Regions from separate parts of the Mus musculus genome. Here all the other regions are reported to be linked to region 2. The links are microRNA targets in miRTarBase. Many come from high-throughput screens and were not tested one by one. Region 2 holds a microRNA gene; each other region holds the end of a gene's coding sequence.
What was found. The annotated mature microRNA mmu-miR-3074-5p reads GUUCCUGCUGAACUGAGCCAGU and lies in region 2 at 3,054-3,075, shown strand. An mRNA with a match to its seed (bases 2 to 7 or 8) in the 3' UTR can be bound and repressed. Matches are read on the target gene's strand: a 7mer-m8 pairs with bases 2 to 8, a 7mer-A1 pairs with bases 2 to 7 and ends in A, and an 8mer does both.

Region 1: miRTarBase lists Piezo2 as a target of mmu-miR-3074-5p. Seed matches in the 3' UTR shown: 7mer-A1 at 1,209-1,215.
Region 3: the mRNA of Adamtsl1 is a reported target of mmu-miR-3074-5p. Seed matches in the 3' UTR shown: 7mer-A1 at 4,395-4,401.
Region 4: the mRNA of Ndrg1 is a reported target of mmu-miR-3074-5p. Seed matches in the 3' UTR shown: 8mer at 3,792-3,799.

Annotation. Positions count from the first base shown.
Region 1 is chr18:63,007,002-63,012,072 of GRCm38, reverse strand. Piezo2 (piezo-type mechanosensitive ion channel component 2) reads left to right here. Exons shown (of 54, transcript NM_001039485.4): 54 at 273-1,860. The coding sequence ends at 525. Among named protein-coding and RNA genes, the nearest start is that of Napg, 32 kb to the right of the region's middle.
Region 2 is chr8:84,206,873-84,211,947 of GRCm38, reverse strand. It overlaps Mir3074-2 (microRNA 3074-2), which reads left to right and starts at 3,041; the gene lies at 3,041-3,123. It overlaps Zswim4 (zinc finger SWIM-type containing 4), which reads left to right. Exons shown (of 14, transcript NM_172503.3): 14 at 1-1,006. The coding sequence ends at 2. Mir23a (microRNA 23a) reads right to left here and starts at 3,430; the gene lies at 3,356-3,430. It overlaps Mir27a (microRNA 27a), which reads right to left and starts at 3,276; the gene lies at 3,190-3,276. It also overlaps Mir24-2.
Region 3 is chr4:86,425,471-86,430,541 of GRCm38, reverse strand. Adamtsl1 (ADAMTS-like 1) reads right to left here. Exons shown (of 29, transcript NM_001368621.1): 29 at 2,160-4,700. The coding sequence ends at 4,594. All of the region lies in intron 2 of Gm33730 (a long non-coding RNA gene), which reads left to right. Among named protein-coding and RNA genes, the nearest start is that of Gm33730, 13 kb to the left of the region's middle.
Region 4 is chr15:66,926,647-66,931,717 of GRCm38, forward strand. Ndrg1 (N-myc downstream regulated gene 1) reads right to left here. Exons shown (of 16, transcript NM_008681.2): 16 at 2,672-4,462. The coding sequence ends at 4,221. Among named protein-coding and RNA genes, the nearest start is that of Ccn4, 38 kb to the left of the region's middle.

The DNA.
Region 1 (5,071 bases), not on the chromosome of region 2:
AAACCCAGAGAGAGAGAGAGAGAGAGAGAGAGAGAGAGAGAGAGAGAGAGAAGGGGAGGGGAGGGGAGGGGAGGGGAGGGGATGGGAGGGGAGGGGAGGGGAGGGGAGGGGAAGGAAGAAAGATCTCAGGACAGGATTATCAGAGGGGAAAGAGCTACTTTGAAAGGAGTATGTGCAATTGTGTTTCTACACCTTGTGTTGGATTTTGTCAAAACATAGACAACGTGTCTTTCTAACCATCTTCATCATTTTCTCCTTGCTGTCTCTTTCAGTATCATGGGATTGTATGCATCTGTTGTCCTTGTAATTGGGAAATTTGTTCGTGAGTTCTTCAGTGGGATCTCTCATTCCATCATGTTTGAAGAGCTTCCAAATGTGGACAGAATCTTGAAGTTGTGCACAGATATATTCCTCGTGAGGGAGACAGGGGAGTTGGAACTGGAGGAAGACCTCTACGCCAAGTTGATATTCCTGTACAGGTCACCAGAAACCATGATCAAGTGGACTAGAGAAAAAACAAACTGATCACTTAAGACCTGGACTGCAAATAAAGCTAACATTTGAATTTTTTTTTTTTTAAGAAAAGCACAATACTCTAAGAGCTAAGCATTTCTAGTTGGGCGGCAACCATTTCTCTTCTGACAGGTGGCTGAAAGAAGTTGATTTTCTTGTTCATGCAAGTCACCTCACACAAGAAGGCGCTGTTGAAGTTCTCCGTACTCCCATGTCTCTGAAATCAGGGCTCATTGCTTTTAGAGTTTTGGTTTTTTGTTTTTTGGGTTTTTGTTTTGTTTTGTTTTTGTTTGTTTGTTTGTTTTTAGTCAAGAGTATCTTGCATTCTTAATCAGTTATGGGAAAGGTTCCAGTAGTGTCCCTTCCCTTGGAGAAAGGCACCTGTGTCTAACTCTGCAGGGTCCTCACCTTTCCTGGCGTCATGGTCAACGTGCAACACATAGCTCTTCTCACCGCTGGGGCAACTGCTGAGCAGAGACCCCACGAACCCTCAGCACACTCCAGATGTGCAGCAGCAATAGGAGGCAGCAGCACTGCCTGAGTTTCAAGAGGAAAGAGGGGACCCTGGACCCAGAAGATGTGGCTGGAAGGACAAGCCTCATTCTAAGCAAAAAGATAACATTAGTGATACTCCTACTGCCTTATCTCAACTGAAGACTGGTAAGAAATCTTTCTATTGAACACCAGTGACTTCTCAGGAAAAAAAAAAAAACACTCAGCAAAGCAACTACGTGGACACCTCTGCTTGTGAGGTCGGGTGGTAACCACTCTAGGTAGTGGTGATCATTCTGCTTCGGATGGCTCCTGTTGCCACAGCAACAGGACAGCAGTGATCAGCTAAGCCTGATGGGAACACCTCGGCTTTGTAACTTCAGTGACTGAGGCCACAGGGCTCTTCTGCCTCTCCCCATCGCCCCTCCCCACCTCTCCCCATCCCCTCATGCTTCCTCCCATTTCCATGATTTAAGGCAGTGGTTTTTTCCAGTGTGTGACATTTTCCTTGCTGTTTTTCAGGCATATCAAAGAGTTTACATATTCCGATTCACATTTTTACATCTAAGACGGGTTTTTTAAGTTCATAATTATGAAAGAAATATGTATATCGAGCTTGGGGAAATAAAATAATGATGGCCTTTTTTCTTAAATTATTATCATTGGGAATACAACCTCTTCATTGAGATAGCATTGTAGCATGAAAATTTATGATTGAAATGTACTTTTCATTCAATATTAAAAAAAATGCTGTTTCTGAGAAGAATCATTGAATGGGCTAGACTATGTCAAAAACCACTCCTGTGTACTCTGGGTTCAGGACTGACTTAAAATAAAGCACATCTTGCAAAGTCATCCAAGAGTGCTCTATTTATGCATGCCTTCATCTGCTGGTCCTCTGCAAGGAGGAGGTAAAGTGATTGCTCGCGATATAGCATGCTAAGAATCAAAATAAGAGAGCACTTGTCCATTTCCTTTGTCAGATAGGTGCTATGGAGGGACAAGAGCGACAAAGCAATTCACAAAGGGGAAGCACTGACAGTTGCTATGGAAACTTTTTAATAGCAGAGCTCAACTAATTAATGTCTAGCATCTTCTGGAGAAATGAGTAGTATACAGTTGTCCCCATTGAACCACAGCCTCACAACATAAACTGTTACAGTCCACCACGGCAGCCATAAAATCGAGTCACTTAGTAGTAGATCTCTAATGACACCAGGAAACTAGAATTTGCAACTGTCCTATAAGTGGGTCACTTATGAGAGTTTACAAACCTAGCAGCTCACCTTCAGACTCCAAGCCCCTTGCCTTCAACTACTAATGAGAATGCATAAAACCCTCCTGGACCCCAAAGGTTGCTGCTTGGGTGGCTCAGCCAGATAATCTGCTAACTGTCTACGGCATCTCTCTCTTCTCTTCCTGCACAGGGGTAGTTCTGTCATAGTTTGGGATATAGATGTAGAAGAAAGGATGGGGTGTAGGGAATGATTAAGCCTCTGGTACTAGACTCGAACTATCCATAGTCCTCTAGATGCAGTCTTTAACCCTGATATCCAACAGAAAAAGACGATATACCAGTCCAGAGTGAATTCAATGCTGTCTTGAGCAACTTGGTGATGATGCACTGTCTAAACTAAAAGTTAAAAAGCTTAAAATTGTGGCTCAGTGGTAGAATATGAGGCCCTCTTCCAATACTGGATCTCTGAATTCATCTTCATCCAAATGCAAAGAGAATCTTTGATGAAGGTTGAGAGATGCAATAAATTGTGGGTGTAAAGGTAAGTACTTGGGGGGCAGTTTAATAGCTGTCCATTTATCAGAGGAATAGTTTTGAGTTCCCCCTCTAGGGCCTATAATTGTCATGGGTGTTTGGCCCAGTTAACAAACAGTACCAGGCACAAGCTCCACCTTGTCCTCAAATCCAATCAGAAAGTGGTTGGTGACTCCCAAAAGATGAATGCCATTACTGCAGCAATGGACCTATCATACCAGGCTCTTCCCAAAGAGCATTTCTGTTATGTTGGATAGATAGATGAAATTATAGTCCACCAAGCAGATAAAGAGATGCATGGTAGTACTTAATCACAACACCTAATACCTTGCGTAAGAGTCCTCATTTATCAAACGCTCTCCTGGGAGTTAGTCTGTTGTACACTCCAAAACAGATGTGTAGACCTGCCTGGGTGCTGATGTGGATTAAAATTGTTCTCTACTCTCTTCGCCACTATAGCTGATCAGAACAGAATGACATAGCAGTATTCATACAGTACTCATGCAGTATTGTTTTGATAAAGACATGTACAAACCAAAGATTTTTCACATATTAGTGTTTCCTGGAGAAACAGATTAATAGAATGAGTATATATTAAAGGGATATTTATTAGATTGCCTTACACCGTACTGTCTGAAGAGTCCAACAATGGCTATTTAACACTGGACAGTCTGAGAACTTGGAAGCTTCCCAGTCTATGAGTACGCTGGCAGAACCACCCTGGTGCTGAAAGCCTGGAGCCTCTCTGGAGAGCCACTTAAGCCTGAAGAAGAGGAATTCTAAGATCAGCAAAGGCATACAGCAGTAGTGGCAGCAGTAAGGGAGTTGACCTTACATGTAAGACATGAAAGCAATAGATTAAACCCCAAGCTTTAACGCAGACTTCCTTGTACCTGGATTGCTGCAGGAGGATGCCACCTGCATTCAAAGACCCAAATCACAAACAAGTACCACACGTGTTCCCATGGCTTATCCTGTAGTTGATCCCATCAACTAGTTAAAAGGAATGGTTGTTAAAAGAAAGCTTCCAGTTTCAGAGCAAGAAGACATTATAAGGATTCCTGACTATTCCCCCAGGGAAAGAATGCAGGGACTACCAGTTAAATGTCCCCATTCATTCCCAAAGCAACATAGCACCTTCCACTCATGCTCCTTCTGAGATGTGAATGTGTTCAGAAAAGAAAAAATAAGTAAATAGATAAACCAGCCTTGCGCCATCTGGTTTAGCTTTATTGCCTGGATTTTGAGTTGTTTGAGTTGAAGAATTATTTCTTCCTAAAGAAAAGCTGCAGGAGAAGGAGGCTGGTGCCTGGTCCTTGGTGCACAGAGAGTGAGGGTGGAACACCAGAGAGGGAGGATGGAGCCTGGTCCTCATTGAACAGAGCCTGGTTGTTCAATCCTCAGAACTACAAAGGGTGAGGCCATATGCATAAGAAAGACCTTTCTCAGGAAAAGTGATGAAAGCAGACAGTGTGCTTTGCTTTGTGGCTGTGCCTCTTAAGAACAAAAGAAATCAAACCAACTTGGGTATGGAGTAGAGCTTTTACCCCAACACAAGAGAAAAGTCAGGAGCAGATTCTTGACAGGCCTATACCCAGACATTTTCCAAAACTGCTTGCTCAGACATATGGCTGTCTTCCCTTCTGAAACTCCTTCAGTATCTTTCTGTGGAATTTTGGAAAATCTCACATCATATATATATATATACATATATATATATATATATATATATATATATATATATATATATATATATATATATATATATATATACACACACACAGACATACACACACATATGTATGTATGTATATATATATATATATATATATATATATACACACACACACACACACCCATATATGGATTTGTAAGGGAGTTCTCCCTAGCCCTAGGGAATTAGGTTATCTGCCTCAGGTTCCTTCCTAATGCCCTGGGAAGATATCTTCCCAATTATGCTGTAATAGGAACACACTTTCCATGCTGTATCATGCATGTTATATCCCATGGGAACCCAGACTGGATCCCAAAGCCAATACTATAACCTCGAACATTCTTAGTGTTGATTTGTTTTTCCATGATCATGAGACAGTGTGAGGTCTCCAGAGAGCTTCCGTGCTTAAGGTCAGATGAAGGTCACTCTCTCCTGAGAGGATGTGTGGTTTTACTGCAGAAGCAGGGCATCACTATCATTAGGAAGCACCCTTGCTTTACATGTTGAGAGGCTGGAGGACCACATGGCCATTCATTTATTATTCTTGGCTTAGGGTTTTACTGCTGTGAGCAGACACCATG
Region 2 (5,075 bases):
GAGGAACTGCAGAAAGCCGGGAGCATGGGTGTCCCAGGCCCACCTTCCTCAAACAGGAGGCCCATGGCTACTTGCAGTAAAGTTACAGAGGTGGGAGGCAGAGGGTGACATCATTCCAGGTGTGTGCCTAGGAGTGTGCAGACAAACGGGACATGCGATCTGAGGATCCGAAGCCATACTGCTAACTAGACCCTGCAGGGAGTATGTGCCTGGGCACCTCACACGGAAGAAGCAAGCTCTGGCTCTTCCAGACTCCCAGGGTCAGCTGGGACTTCCAGGAGAAGGGCTGGGCCAGAGTGAAGTTAGGCCTCCAACTCAGTGCAGCAGATGCTCCAGAGCCGGAGCTGGCCGGAGCCTAGGCACTTCACATCAGGGTAGTTACTTCCCACTGTGTTTCTCCCCTCTCCACAGCTCAGGGCTCCTGTCCCACTGCCCTGCGCCCCCAGCCCCAGCTTTCCAGCACAAATGCCTCACCCCACTGAAGGATATTAAGAGGTCTTGGGCCTCTGCCACATACCTCACCCCCAAATACCCTTGTCAAGCCAGGGCCTGTCTTCTCTTGGGCACCAAGGTCACAGGGTAGGCTGGGGACAGCTCTCTGCTGGCCAGACCCCACCACTAGTAACTGGATACACAACTCAGGAGTCAGGCTGCCCTCCAGCCTGTTGTGGGAGGCACAGGCAGACAGCCAGGGACCCCGTTCTGTCTTCCTCTTGCTCTGCACCTCCATTTGTTTCCCCACTCCCTTAGTTTCCCCATGTCTGCATCTCTCTCAAGTCCCAGCTGCTGACAGGCCTTCCTGTATCCCAGGCCTTGGCCCAGGGAGGAAGAGAAGGGAGAGCCTCCACCCCAGACGCACCTGTCTTCTCTCTTGTATATTAAGGAAAAAGTTGGCATCATTTTGTAACTTTTTTTCTTATTTATTGAACCCCATACTGTATTCTTTTCCTTTTTTTTTCCTTTTTTTTTAAAAAAAAGATTGAACACAACTTCTTTTTAACTTCAAGACTGGGTTGCATTGCTAACACAAACACCCGGGGCCAGGGGTACCTACCACCTGCTCAATTAACCAAAAAATTTTCCATCTCGGTTTTTGGGCACAACTTGAATGGGACAGGAGAGGCTGCTGGTTTCTTCATGGCATCGTGGTGACACGAAGAGCCACCTCTTGCTGGTGGCTTTACTGCTTTTCCATCTGCATGTCATAATCTCTGCAAGTCAGGAGGCTTAAAACGCCCAAACCTAGAGTCTGTAGGTTTTTGGAAAATGCACCCAGATTGCACTGTCCTTCATTGCAGGAAATGACCACCAGGGGGCGTCTGGCTCCAGACAACGTCATTCGGAGCTCCGGAGGTCTCACCAGGTGCGGAGGGCAGCTGGGGACGCCTGTGTCCCCAGTGACCTGCCCATTGCATTTTTGGGCTGTGGATGAGACTCCCGTTCTTAGATGGATTCATCCAGCGGACGGCCTGGGCATTCTTCTCATTCTCCGGTTCTTTATGTCCTTAGCTGTGTCTGACAGGGTCATTGTTTAGGACCGTTCTCTTGGAAGCTGTGTGTGTGTGTGTGTTGCCTCTGTGGGGCACTATGGGAGCTGGCTGTGACTATGAGTGTGGCCATAGTTCATGGTGCGTTCCTTTGCTCCAGGGAGCCGATCAGAGGCGATCCGCCCCTTAGCCCTTCTGGCGCAGACGGGCGCGCGCGCGTGCGTGCGTGCGTGCGTGTGTGTGTGTGTGTGTGTGTGTGTGTGTGTGTGTGTAGACGGGCGCGCGCGCGTGCGTGTGTGTGTGCATGCGCGCGTGTCTGTCTGTGCTCGCATATGTGCCCGTCCTTAAGCCCTGTGTGTGTGTGTGTGTGTGTGTGTGTGCATGCGCGCGTGTCTGTCTGTGCGCGCATATGTGCCCGTCCTTAAGCCCTGGCATCTTGCCAGTCAGTGCATCCCAGCATAGGCAGAGTACATTCTTGTAACATACTCCCTCATGGAACTGGGGTGACCACAGATTGGTCTCATACACCCCAGGTCTGGGTTATCCCTCCCGTTCAAGCCATCCCCAAAGGATCCCAGGATCTTCAGGTCGCAGCACCTACTGACCACAGAACTATATTTACACCTTCCTAGAAGCAGGTGGAGCAAGGTTGGGGATAGGTGCAATGCAGGTTAGGAGCCCAGGGTGTGGTAGATATAGTGGTGCAGCTGGTATTCCCAAACTCCAGACACTGGAGGAGTTTGATTCAAGGTCAGCCTGGTCTACACAGAAATGCTGTTTCAAGAGAAATGAAAAAAGCCAGCAACACACATGTGGGAGGCGGGAATGAAGAGACGTCAGCCCTTACGGAATGAGGCTGTGGAGCTTTTATTTAGTTGGAGAACAACATTCAATACAAGCTTTCAACTCTGTTCTTCCACCCAGGCTTCGATTTGCCCCTGCCCAGAGTAGGGAGAGGACACTGTATGGTCTGGGAAGTGTAACTCAGCCAGTTCCAATTAGTCTGCATGCAGTCTCATTTGTGGGTAGTAGGCAACTTTTTAACTTCCAAGCCTGGAGATTACTTCAACAGGCCAATGGGGGGGGGGGGCATGGATCTGTTCATATCCTGAGGCCTGTGTGGACCTCGCTCCCTGCCTCGCTGTCACCAGCAGAAAGCTGCAGACCCCATGGGATTGCTAGGCACACTGGATCAGGTCAGTGCCTTCTTCCGGAAGCAGAGAGTTGGCATTTAACCGTTAGAGGGCCTAAAGCAGCTTCCTCTTGGGTAACTGACTTCAAAGATGGTATGTATAAGGGGTGGTGCCTGAGCCCCACCAGACTTAGGAAAAGAAGGGCTTCCAGGCCCTGAGGGGACATAACTGGCTTTTAATGCAAGGGTTACCCGCCCATCTATCTGCTTTGGGGAACCACAGAAATCTCAAGGTGGACACCCAGATGCAGGCTTAGAGGCTGAGCCTCCAGCAGACAACGGGGCTTAGGTTGGACTAATTACCCCATTGTTTCCAGGTCTTGCTCACGGCAGACATTCTGCAGGGTTGCCAGCTCCTAGGGGGCTGGACTCCTGTTCCTGCTGAACTGAGCCAGTGCACTGGAATCAACTGTTTCAGCTCAGTAGGCACGGGAGGCGGAGCCCGGAGAGAGGCAGAGCCCTGCCAGCCAGGAGGCAGAGCAGGGTGGGCAGCAGCGGCCTGAGGAGATGGGGTCCAGGGGGCGGAACTTAGCCACTGTGAACACGACTTTGCTGTGGACCTTGCTCACAAGCAGCTAAGCCCTGCTCCTCAGGCCAGTTGTCATGATAGGCTTCTCTGTTACCCAGTACCCAAGACAGACATCCTTGGCGACAGGAGCCCCCAAGGCAGAGCACAGGGTCAGTTGGAAATCCCTGGCAATGTGATTTGTGACTGGCATCAAATCCCATCCCCAGGAACCCCAGCCGTCCGAGGCACAGTGAGGGGGGCAGCAGGTGGGAGCGGAGTGTAGCACCTAAAGAGAGAAAGAAGAGACAGTGAGATTGGAGCATTCTTGCTTGCCTGCCTATCTTGACCAGGCTGGGTCTCACATAGCTGAACACAAGGTTTCCGAATGCACCAGTTCTTCCTGCCTCTACCTCTGGAGTCTAGGATTATAGGTACACCTCACCACACACAGTTTAAGTGGTGCTGGGGACAGAATCTAAACTCAGCTTGCTGATCCACACCCTAGCCCTCCTCTACTTCCAAGAGGGAAGAAGCATTCCCAAAAAAGAGGAGCATCGATCCGTAGGAAGGTTGGAGCGAGGCTGCTGGATGCTGGGCACCCAGCAGTGCCTCTACCCCAGCCCTACAAAGCGGGAGGTGCCTGAAGCCCTAAGGCCAAAGGGGCTGCAGAGCCTTCCCAGCTGCTTCCCACTCTGCTTCTATCCCCACCCACAGCCCTGAGCCCAAAGCAGGCCAAATGGGGCCATGGAGAGGAAGCTGAGGGAGGTGGACGGTTGGAGGGAGGAAGTGACCTCACCCCAGCTGGCGCCACTTCCTAGAAGCCTGAAGGGCAGGAGGAAACTCCAGGGCCTCCCACCTCAGCCCTCTCCTCCCCAGCCAGCTCAGACATAACCCCACCCCCACCCCACACCACCTAGGGCCCAAGCAAGGAGAAGCAGGCCGATGCACCCCAACAATAACACCTCAGTAAAGTTTCCCCTAGGCCTTCCAAGCCTCAGTTTCCCCATCTGTAAAGCAGACTACAACAGTTGCAGTTGGTGGCTCACGTTTATCTCAGCATTGAGGAAACTGAGGCAGGAAGGTTGCCAAGAATGGAGTCAAAAGCCTGCTTAAGCTACATGATGAGTTTTAGGCCTAACTGGGCTACAGTTTGAGACCCTAGTCTTAAATAGAAGAAAAACAAAAATAAAACAACAAAACCCCAAACCTTCTACTAGGAAGGCCAGTGAAAACTTACAGAGAAGGTATTTAGCACCCAGTACCAGGGCAAGCCACAAAATTTGGGGCCTACCCAATGTAGAGTAGTGTCCTGCGTGCCAGTTAAAGTTTTCAGGGGCCAGCAAGCTGATCCAGCAAGTGAGCAGAGCTGCTATGGAGCCCAATGCCCTGAGCTCAAACCCAAGAACCACGAAGAAGAAAAGCATACGGACCCTTGCAAGTTGTCCTCTGATCTCTGCACTTGGGAACACACACACACAATTTTTAAAAATTGTTTAAAGAATTTCAATGTTGGAGAGATGACAGGTTTCTTTCCCAGAACCTACATGACAAGCACAGCTATCTATAGCTCCATTCCCAAGAGCTCCAACGCTCCCCACTGGCCCCTGTGGGTACCAGGCATACATATGGTGCACAGACGTACGCGTAAGCAAACATTCACAAACAGACAATAAAAATAAACTTAAGAATGGTGGTGCACACTGTTAGTCCCAGCACTTGAAAGGCAAAGGAAAGCAAGAACCAGGCCTTGGACAGTACTATCTCTAAGAGTTCAAGGCCAGCTTGGTCTGTGTAGGGAGTTTCAGACCATCCAGGGCTACATAGTGACACAAGTGACCTTGTTTCAGATAAAGAGCTGACTCAGTGGTTAAGAGTGGCTACTGCTCTT
Region 3 (5,071 bases), not on the chromosome of region 2:
TGAAGGTCTGATAGAACTCTGCACTAAACCCATCTGGTCCTGGGCTTTTTTTTTTTTTTTTTTTTTGGTTGAGAGACTATTAATGACTGTTTCTATTTCTTTAGGGGAAATGGGACTGTTTAGATCGTTAATCTGATCCTGATTTAACTTTGGTACCTGGTATCTGTCTAGGGAGTTGTCCATTATATCCAGGTTTTCCAGTTTTGTTGAGTATAGCATTTTGTAGTAGGATCTGATGATGTTTTGGATTTCCTCAGGATCTGTTGTTATGTTTCCTTTTTCATTTCTGATTTTGTTAATTAGGATGCTGTCCCTGTGCCCTCTAGTGAGTTTGGCTAAGGGTTTATCTATCTTGTTGATTTTCTCAAAGAACCAGATCCTGGTTTGGTTGATTCTTTGAATAGTTCTTTTTGTTTCCACTTGGTTGATTTCAGCCCTAAGTTTGATTATTTCCTGCTGTCTACTCCTCTTGGGTGAATTTGCTTACTTTTGTTCTAGAGCTTCTAGGTGTGCTGTCAGACTGCTAGTGTATGCTCTCTCTAGTTTCTTTTTGGAGACACTCAGGGCTATGAGTTTTCCTCTTAGGACTGCTTTCATTGTGTCCCATAAGTTTGGGTATGTTGTGGCTTTGTTTTCATTAAACTCTAAAATGTCTTTAATTTCTTTCTTTATTTCTTCCTTGACCAAGGTATCATTGAGTAGAGAGTTGTTCAGTTTCCACGTGAATGTTAGCACCTGATAATTCTTGAGCCTGAGTGAATTACCATTTTTTAACATTCTGCATCCTATGTGGTGCACTGCCTTTATAGATGATGAGGCAGAAGTGTGAATGACTTTGGTGACAGTTGACGGTTCTCATCCTAATATCCTATATTATTTCTGAGTTTCTTTAGTTTGTTCTGATTGCTTATAAGGACCAGCAAGGTCTTTAGAATGATGAATAATAACCCTAAGACAGTTGCTGGTCAAGTTTCCAGGCATTTATCCTGTAGTCTATGGCATCTTGGCAGGACTCTTCTGTTTTCTTATTGGGATCTGTGACTGATGCTGGAGACTTTTCTGTACATCATGTTTGAGGCCTCCCTGTTTCTTGAGTCTTCTTGGGTTTTCCCTTTGATATCTTTGGCTTCTCTCCACAGTATTGCTGTAGGACATTGGTTGCTGGTGATTACTTATAGATTTATTTATAAATATATCTATTTGAGCAAAACCTAAAGCTACTGAGAAAATAATGGGAGTACGAAGAGCTCTCAGGTGGATTGTTAACACTACTAAATAGGAATGGATGTGTTGGGGTTTGAGGGTGCTGTGTGTGTAGTGGGTGGGGACTGGGGGTGCAGTTCTGGAGCCCCTCTCTCAATGATCCTGTGAGGACATCATCCAGGCCTGGGGACTTACTGCCCTTTGACTATATCTGGCTAGGAAGAACTTTACAAATGTGCTTGCAGCTTTTCTGCACACCGCACAGCAGTACTATTGCTATAAGAATCTGTAAAAGATAGAGATGTAGGAATCAGTCCTGTAAACCAAAGCAAATTCACTTTAGGACAGGAGAAGACAACAGCTCTCATAATGATGCATACAATGTTGCATAACGGTTATCTACTAGTAATCTCAGAGCAGTGAGAAATGTGTGTGTGTGTCTGTCTCTGTGTCTGTCTGTCTGTCTTTCAAGGTGGTCGTATGCATGTGAGAATAATTGCAGGGTTGCAGGAGGATTAAGTGTGATCCATGAAGTTTATTTTCCACTTACAGTGCATAACTAAAATTCCATCACATGGCTGCCTCCAATTGGGCATACCTGCTGGCTAGAAGCCACCATGGAGTCTTCATCTATCCTGAGACACTGTCCCTTGCTTTTCTTCCAAAAGGTGCTTGTGGCTTTCTTGTAGCTTCCTATGTAGCGCTGTCAATGAGATGACTGGTCCTTTTGTTAGATAGTACCTCAACCAGAATGTGCACACATCTGCCGCTGCCTTCCTCCAAGTTCCTTTACTGAGCTGGCCTTTCTGAGCATGGATTCCATAACTTCCTTCATTTCAGTAAGATCTTTATAATTGATTGGGAACCACTCAATTTGTAATCAAGGATTTCTTTCACCCTTTGCATAAGGTGTGAAGAGAATGATGAGTTTCACAGAGACACCGACACTATGATTTAAATAAATAAGCTGTATTATCTGTACAAAAAAATATAAATACAGTTTTGTGTTTTAGAGAAGGAAGTGTCTTCTTCCGCATTATCCAGCAGCCCCGATAATTTGTGGTACTGCTGAGTCACAATTCACAGAACAAATATTAAATGTACATTCATGTCATGCAAGGAGCACACTGCTTTCCACTCCAAACCTATGCTCTCCAGCTAGTTCTGAAAGGCACTTCCAACCTCACACTCTGGCAGGTGGCAGAGCTGGAAGACGCCTGCATTTGAGAAAAATTCAAACACTGACCACCAATTTTTAATAGCTACTGTACTATGTATTAGTATTACAGAATTTGTGTTCATTTTATGTATAACTAGTGTCACAAACAAATTGACTCCATTGCTCTCCCCCAATCCCACATTAGCTTTTACAAGGTACTCTGTACACAGTGGATCAGAGTTAAACATCTGTTTTGTTTCATTTAAAATTAGGAAGAATACAATTATTGCCACAGAGTTTTTAGGAACACAGCTGCAGGAAGTTAATAAAATCCCCCAAAGAGTTGTTTTTCTGGATGACAATGTACAATTACTAATATTGCACTTTTTAATACAAGAAATCCTAATAAATATTCACAAAAGATATACATAGAAACACTCTCTTTAATTTTAAATAAACATTACACTGACTTTTAATAACACAATTTCTTAGAGTCTATTTTTGTGATGAGGAAGAGGCCTACCCTAACTGTCCATAGCGCATCTAAGAAGACACAGATTAACATCCTCTTTCAAACTTAACTTCCAGGCTGGTTGGGAAATGCAGCCCTGATGTCAGTGGTGGCCCTGGGGTGATAGCATTTGGTGAGTGTGTTTGCGAGGGGCGGCTTATCTGATGGCTACTGGGCTCTGCCTGCCTCATCTGCTAAACTGAGGCTGCTCAGGAAGGAAGCGATTATTACTGTTGAAGCTTCTCTGCAGACTGAGGATTTGCCAAGGGCTTCTGTTTTTGCCATAGCTGATGTGTGTTGCTGAATTGTGTGTGCTGCTTAGCCCGCTGAGTGGTCCATTCACTCAGTCTGGTGTGCTAATTACCATAGTATCTGTGTAGTCGAGAGGATGGTTACAAAGCTTTCTCCGGCTGTCTTGTGAGTCTTTAGCTGACTTCTAGCTTTGCCATAGCGCCTGATCACACTCCCTACTCCCAGCCTGCTGCGTAAATTGGCAGCTCTTCTGTGGTTCAGGAAGGGCTCCCAGGCCCAATGTGTGAGGGTTGGGAGAGAAAGCGCACTGTGGGTGTGCAGGGCCCCTCCGTCCTCTCCTCCTCTCTGGTGAGATCTGGTAGTAAGGCTTTCTACATCCTGTAGATGCTTGCCCGCAAACAGGTTGCTTAATGAATCCTTTGTGAGCTATGATTCTAGTCCCTGGCCCAACAAGGAGCAGCAAAGTCATTCGGATGGAAAACCAGGGGCATTCACGATCAAATGCCCTTGGCCCTCGGCAGCAGTCAGTTCATGGCTAGTGACCCTTGACTTAAGTAGGGAGATGCTAGGGGCAGCCTTACTGCACAGCTGACCTTGACCCTTTGTTGGGTTGTCCACAGCTGCAGACACAAAAGTCACTTGACAGAAGAGGGGTAGACACACTTGTATAACCACACAAAGGGCATGTCATGCAGTGTCACCCGTGTCACGCAGCGCGGGTACCCTGAGAGGACTCTGAATACCCTTCCCCAACTCTGTTGAAGCTCGAGGACTGTGCACATGTTCCCGGGCACAGGCTTGTCATATGGGTCTCACGTGACTGCTTGAAAATCTGTCCTGCCAGCAAGCTCCTCCCACTGAGGTGCGTGCGCACGCTTTCCTTCTCTCTTCCCGGCCTCTGTCTTCTGCATAGCGGCATGCCTTCTGCCTATTTTGCTTGTCTCTTTTGGCATAACCCTCTTGCCCACAGCTCAGTTCTCTTCTTTCTTGGTCTTCCCACACCACTGCCAGAAGAACTGGAGTCTGGCCTGGTTTCTGCTCTAGTATGCTGCTTCCCCCCCCCCCCCCCTGTTCCTACCACCAGGAAACAAAGGAACGGCACTCCTGATTGGCCTGTGCCTGTACCTATGTGTTATAAACTCCTTGCTGTCCCTATAGACTATGGCTTGGTCTTCCTGTGTCTCTGAGACCCTGATCAGAAAGGAGCCAGCTCTGCAAGGGAGCTGCTGTCTGCTCTGCAACCCTCCTTTAGACATCTTTTTTTTTTTTTTTCCTGTTCTCCACACTAGCTTCCAGCTAACTGAATAAGAAAACATGCCACAGTCCTCGGGAGCATGGGTGCAGGTGGACATGGGTGTGTGGGGAGGGGCAAATAAATAAATAAAAGGAAGAAAGCGTAAGTCATGTCCAAGGTGGTTGTGTGAGTCCTTTGTGTGGCCAGGGTAGAGTTCATCCCCGTGCCCTGTCTTCATGCTTTGCCACACGTTCCACAGCAGCGAGATCGGAACTGGCCGAGCTGGCAGAGTTTCAACTGTCTCACCTTCTCGCAGTACCTGGTGGTGTCTCTGCACTCAGCTGGGAAAGCAGGAGGGGAGGAGGGGGACAGAAAGGAGATATGAAACAGAGGCTCACGGATGCAGCTGCTGTTGAGCAGCCTAGGCACTTGGCAAGCTGCCTGTAGGGTCTCCCCAGCCATGGCTCTCCAGCTCTCTGGACAGCCTTCCCTCTGGCAGCACTCAGCCCTTTGCCAATCCCTCCCCACCATCTGTGATTGATGGGGGACTATCTCAGGGCCTTCTTTGCTTCCTTCTGATAGCTGCTTCTACTTCAGACTGGTAGATTTAATCTCCTTCCTCTTGCAATACTCTCATCTCCCCGCTTGCTTTTTCCACTATGGGCTTTTGTTTTTTTAGTGAGAGATGTGCCCAGGAGGACAGAATTCTGTT
Region 4 (5,071 bases), not on the chromosome of region 2:
ATCTATCTATCATAAATCTTTCCTATATCTCCAGGTATCACCTACCTATCAATTATCTTCTTTCCATTTATTTATATGTCTGTCTGTCTGTCTATCTATCTATCCATCTATCTACCTATCTGTCATCTTCTATTATCTATCATCTATGTATCTATGTATCTGTATCTATGTATCTATCTATTTGTCTATTTATCTATCTATCTCTCTTATTGTCCACCTACTTATTCATACCTTAGTGACACTTGTACTTAGAAATCCATGCCCTGCTGGAATCTTGTCTCTTTCTATCACATGTGGATTCTAAGGAGATGCTGGCACAGTCTTTTCACCATTTGGTACACTCTACACAGCATATCTCAGGCTCTACACTCTAAGCCTCATTATTCTGCCTTTTATATAATACAAGAAAAAAATGTGGGTTTCTTCATCCATTTCAGTAAAAGGAGCAAGAGCTGCTAGAAGCACGCTCACTGATAATATAAGAAGTGCCAGCAGAGGGAAGGGAGGGTAACCCAAAACCACATCAAAGCTATTGTATCTTGCAAGTCCAAGCAGGACCATTTAATGGAAGAACAAAGGTACGTTGAGCCAGTGAAAACCTTTCAGGCCCACAGTTCTGATCCCTGGAGCTCACTGATATTCCCGCATCCCCAGACATTGATAGGGGAGGGTGTGAGCCATTTATAGGCAGGGAGATAATAATCCACTGAAAATGGCTCGTTAAAGCTATTCAGTCTCTTTGAAGTTTGAAAACTACTCTTTCTGGAGAGTGAAGACTCCCCTGGAGCTCACTGGCCAGCCAGTCTAGCCAAATCTATGAGTCCAGGATTCAGTAAAAGACTCTGCCTCAAAGGATAAGATAGTGAGCAATGAAGGGAGATGTCTGACATTGACATCAGGCCTCCAAGCACACACACACCTGCACACACACAAATACACACTCAATAAATATAATATACATTCTTAAAAAAATAATCACTAGTTTATGAGTGAGGAAAATAAGGTAGTATACAGCATGCATCAGCACTTTTCATATCTGCAAATCTCCTTGCTTCCTAGGAATGCTGACCATTCAGGGATCACTTCTCAGAGCAAGGATAAATGACAATGGTATCTGTACCAATGGACTTGTCCGTCAATAAATGATGTCACTGTTAATTCATCAACTCAACTTCACTGATTCTTTGGAGCCCATCTTAGTTACTTTTTTATTGCTGTTATAAAACACCATTGCCAAGACTCACGTGAGATCTGTATAAGGTTTTCCTTAGCTGGAGGACGGCCACAGAAGTCAAGTGCCCCTTCTTGTGCGAATACATTTTTGTGCTCTTGGGCTAGAGGATAATCTGTCCTTTTGCTCTGTCTTACTTATGCTGGAGACACAGCCTCTCTTTGGCCTGGAATTCATCAAGTGGGCTAACCTAACTGGCCAGAGTACCCTCAGTGATCTTTCTATCTCTACCTTTCCAGCACTGGGATGACAAGCATGTACCACCAGAAGTATTTTATGTGTGTAGATGTTTTGCCTGCATTTAAGTCTGTACCACATGTGTGTTCTGTGCCTATGTAGAGAGGGTACTGATCCCAGGAAATGGAGTTACAGACACTTATAAACCACTATGTGGGTGCTTCAAGTTGAACTGGGTGCTCTAGAACAACAGCCAATGTTGTTAAACACAGAGCCTGCTACCCTAGCTTTTTTTTTTTTAATGTGAGCTATGGGGAATTGAATTCAGGTTATCACACTTGCAAGGGAAGTATTTTACCAACTGAGCCATCTTCCAAGTCAAGTGTCTTTGTTGCATGTTGTCAAGGGCCACATCACAGCATGGGCTCTCAGAGGTGAGATGACCTTGGTCCCCAGCCAGAGTCATCATATATGCTGGGGTGCCCAGGAGCTCCTCTCCCTGTCCTCCTCACTTTCTTGGAAGCAGTTACTTAGCAGACAACACTCACCCTCTACAGGCTCCCAACCATTACTGTGTGGCCTCCCATAAACAATCATCCGGGTGGGAAATAGATTCTTCAGATGGAGAGGTACCTTCAGACAAACTAACCCTGGGTAGCACCAGGTATGCAAACATGCAGCTGTGTCTGTCTCAAAAACAGTAAAATGGAGAGCAATACAGAGAGAGAGAGACACCCAATGCCAACCTCAGGCCATGAAACGTACACGCAAGTGCAACAATGCATACAACACACATATATACCAAACATACAAAGCAAACATCTCCCATGGAACGTGAGAACAGGAGTCACTTTTAACCTATATGCTTCCCTCTTCTTCCAGCTTGAAAAGTGTTCTCTCATCACTATGGTGACCTGCTACTAGGTGCCTGGTGTGTGGCAAGGCTGCCTGCACACTGAATTCCTTACTGCAGAAAAAGATGTGCCTGACTGCTTGCATAGAAATGATGTTAGTTGATATATTAGGCTACAGGGATGCCTAACTTATTTTCGCCTGATTCTTCTTCCTTCAATATCACTACCAGAAAGTTTAGAAACCTATATGACAGACAGTGCCATTTCTACTGGTCAGTGTCATTCTGTGGCAAAGAACTCCAAAAGTAAGGGGCACGCAGCAGGGGCTCTGGTGTCAAGGATAAAGTTCCACCCCTTCCTGCTCCACAATGCCACACCCACCCTCATAGGGAGAGGAAAAGACACAAGCCACTGCAAAGTTACAAATTTATTGGTCTGGAAATAAATACAAACATCTTATTAAGAAACTGCCCTGGAGAGACATATACAGTGATTTCTTGTCAGCATTCAATCACCCTGGCCTGGATTCCTGATCTTTCTACACAAGGTCAGTGGAACTCCTCCTCCACGGTAGGAGTTGGCAGGTAAACTGATCCCTTGTCTCTCATGCCGCCTATAGGGCATAACTACTTTTCCTCTAGCAACTCCAAGATCCTGGAAGTCGCCAGGCCTTGAGGGCTGACTCCCAACGATCAAGTGTCTCTGATCTGATCACATTTCCTATAGGAAAGGTTCAAGGTTAGCCACAGTAAGAATCAAAAGGCAGTAGTATGGAGCATGGGCATTAGGCTGGCATTGCTTAAGAGGCCAATGCTACAAACCCAGTCAGCAGGAGGGGCAGGAGAGGGAAGCAAGTTCCCGTGGAATGTACAGAACCCAAAACCAGTCCTTCCCCCACTAGAACATACGGTTCTCTCTGAAGAACCAGCGATGGGCCAGTTAAGAGACATTCAGCTATCAAGTTTCAAATCAATGCCAGACATCAATTATGGGAGACAAGGTGTGACTCAGTCACACAAGATTCCAGATCAATGAAATCACACCCACCAGGTTCTAGCACTTGGCCCTACCATGAGTCCTCAAAATCCCAGGGCCATTCTATCCCCACCCTTCCCATCCTAAAGACTCATCCCAGACAAGGACCCCTGTCACCTGCTGGGTTCTCCCTCTGCCTCAAAGAATGCAACAACAAATCAAAACCATCTTCCCGAGGGACAGAGGTGTCATCCACTCATTCACTGTGGAATGGGAGCGGGGTACAGTAGACTGCATAGCAAGAGTCTTAAATCACTGATGCCCCACATTTGCTGGATCACTTTCTCTATAAAGCCTGGGGTTTGTTACCAGTTTTTCTTGCACGTTAAAAGGTTGCCAGAAAAACAGGTTGTGGGTTTCAGTGTCCAGAACTTTAAAATCAATTCCTTCAAGTGAGCCTAGTAGACTTGTTGTGTTTTTCCTCTACCTGCCCTAGACCCTGCCTTTTTTTCTCTTCCTTTCTTGGTTTCTCTACTTAAAATAAGGCGCCCAACTTTCCTGCCTCTCTCTCTCCTTTCAAAACAGAAGTTTGTTTCCAGGAATGAGTTTAGTGGGGAGGAAACAGGAAGTAGGCAGGTTGGCAAAACGCCTATGAACCAGAATGCTGGATCAGCCTGGGCTTGGAGCCAGGCAGTGTTACAGCTATCTATTTCTTAGTTTTGGCAGTTTGGTGTCTGAGGGTAGAGAGAGGGTCCACCAGGCCACTTGTTAGCAGAACAGTACGCTGAACTGCTTCTTGCCTTTGGTCCACCACCACCCACCCTGGTCCCAGGAGGCAGTCAGAACAGCCTGGGTCTGCCACCGCCAGAGTTCATTCTTACAAAAGCAGCTTTAGATTAATACCGCATTAGCGTAGGGTGGCAGGCAAGGGTTGGGGGCTAAGGGAGAGGCCACCAGTCCAGGGTGACTGATGCACAGATTGCTTAGCAGGACACCTCCATGGACTTGGGCCCGGCATTGTTTCCGGTGGCACCCGAGTTGGGGGTGATGTTGAGACGGGCATCCTCACTGGTATGGGAGCGGCTACGGGACCCCTCACTGGTGTGCGAGCGGCTTCGGGGGCCCTCGCTGGTATGGGAGCGGCTACGGGTGCCCTCCAGGGATGTGACACTGGAGCCAGAGGCTGTGCGGGACCGCATCAGGCGAGTCATGCTGGCAGAAGGCACTGGGAACACAGAAGACAAATATGGTTAGGATACAGGAAGCCTCTACAGGTGTGGGACTCTACCCCTGGCTGCCAGCCATGACAGTTAATCGTAAGAGCCCAGCTGAACACCACTTCTCTATTGTCTTCATCCTGTGAGCCATCTACCTTCTGTGTCACTCACAAAGAGGACAGTAAAGTCCAATATGTGGGAAAGGCACATAACAATTACATGGCAAGAGTCCTGAGCCATGACCTGGGTCTGACCCCCAGTTTGTTATGTGCTTATTAGCTAGGTGACCACCAGATCATCACACTTGAAGCCTTCCCATTTTCATTTGCAAAATGAAGACTTCGTGTAACCTCCTCTTAAATGTACTGTCAGTAGGCAGTAGAATGTGGAAGCCAGCAAGGTTAGTTCCTGCACATCCCAAGAATAACCCCCAAGGTCTCACCACATGGTTCCTAAGGAAATGTTAGCCATCTGTCTGCCTTCCAAAAGCCTGCTAGCTCTCAAACCTTAGCATGACCAAAACTGCGCATACCACAGCAGATGACTGACAGAATGGGATACAAGACAATCCTCCTCCTATCTAGGGTGGCAGTGCTCCCCCCAAATTCATGCTCACC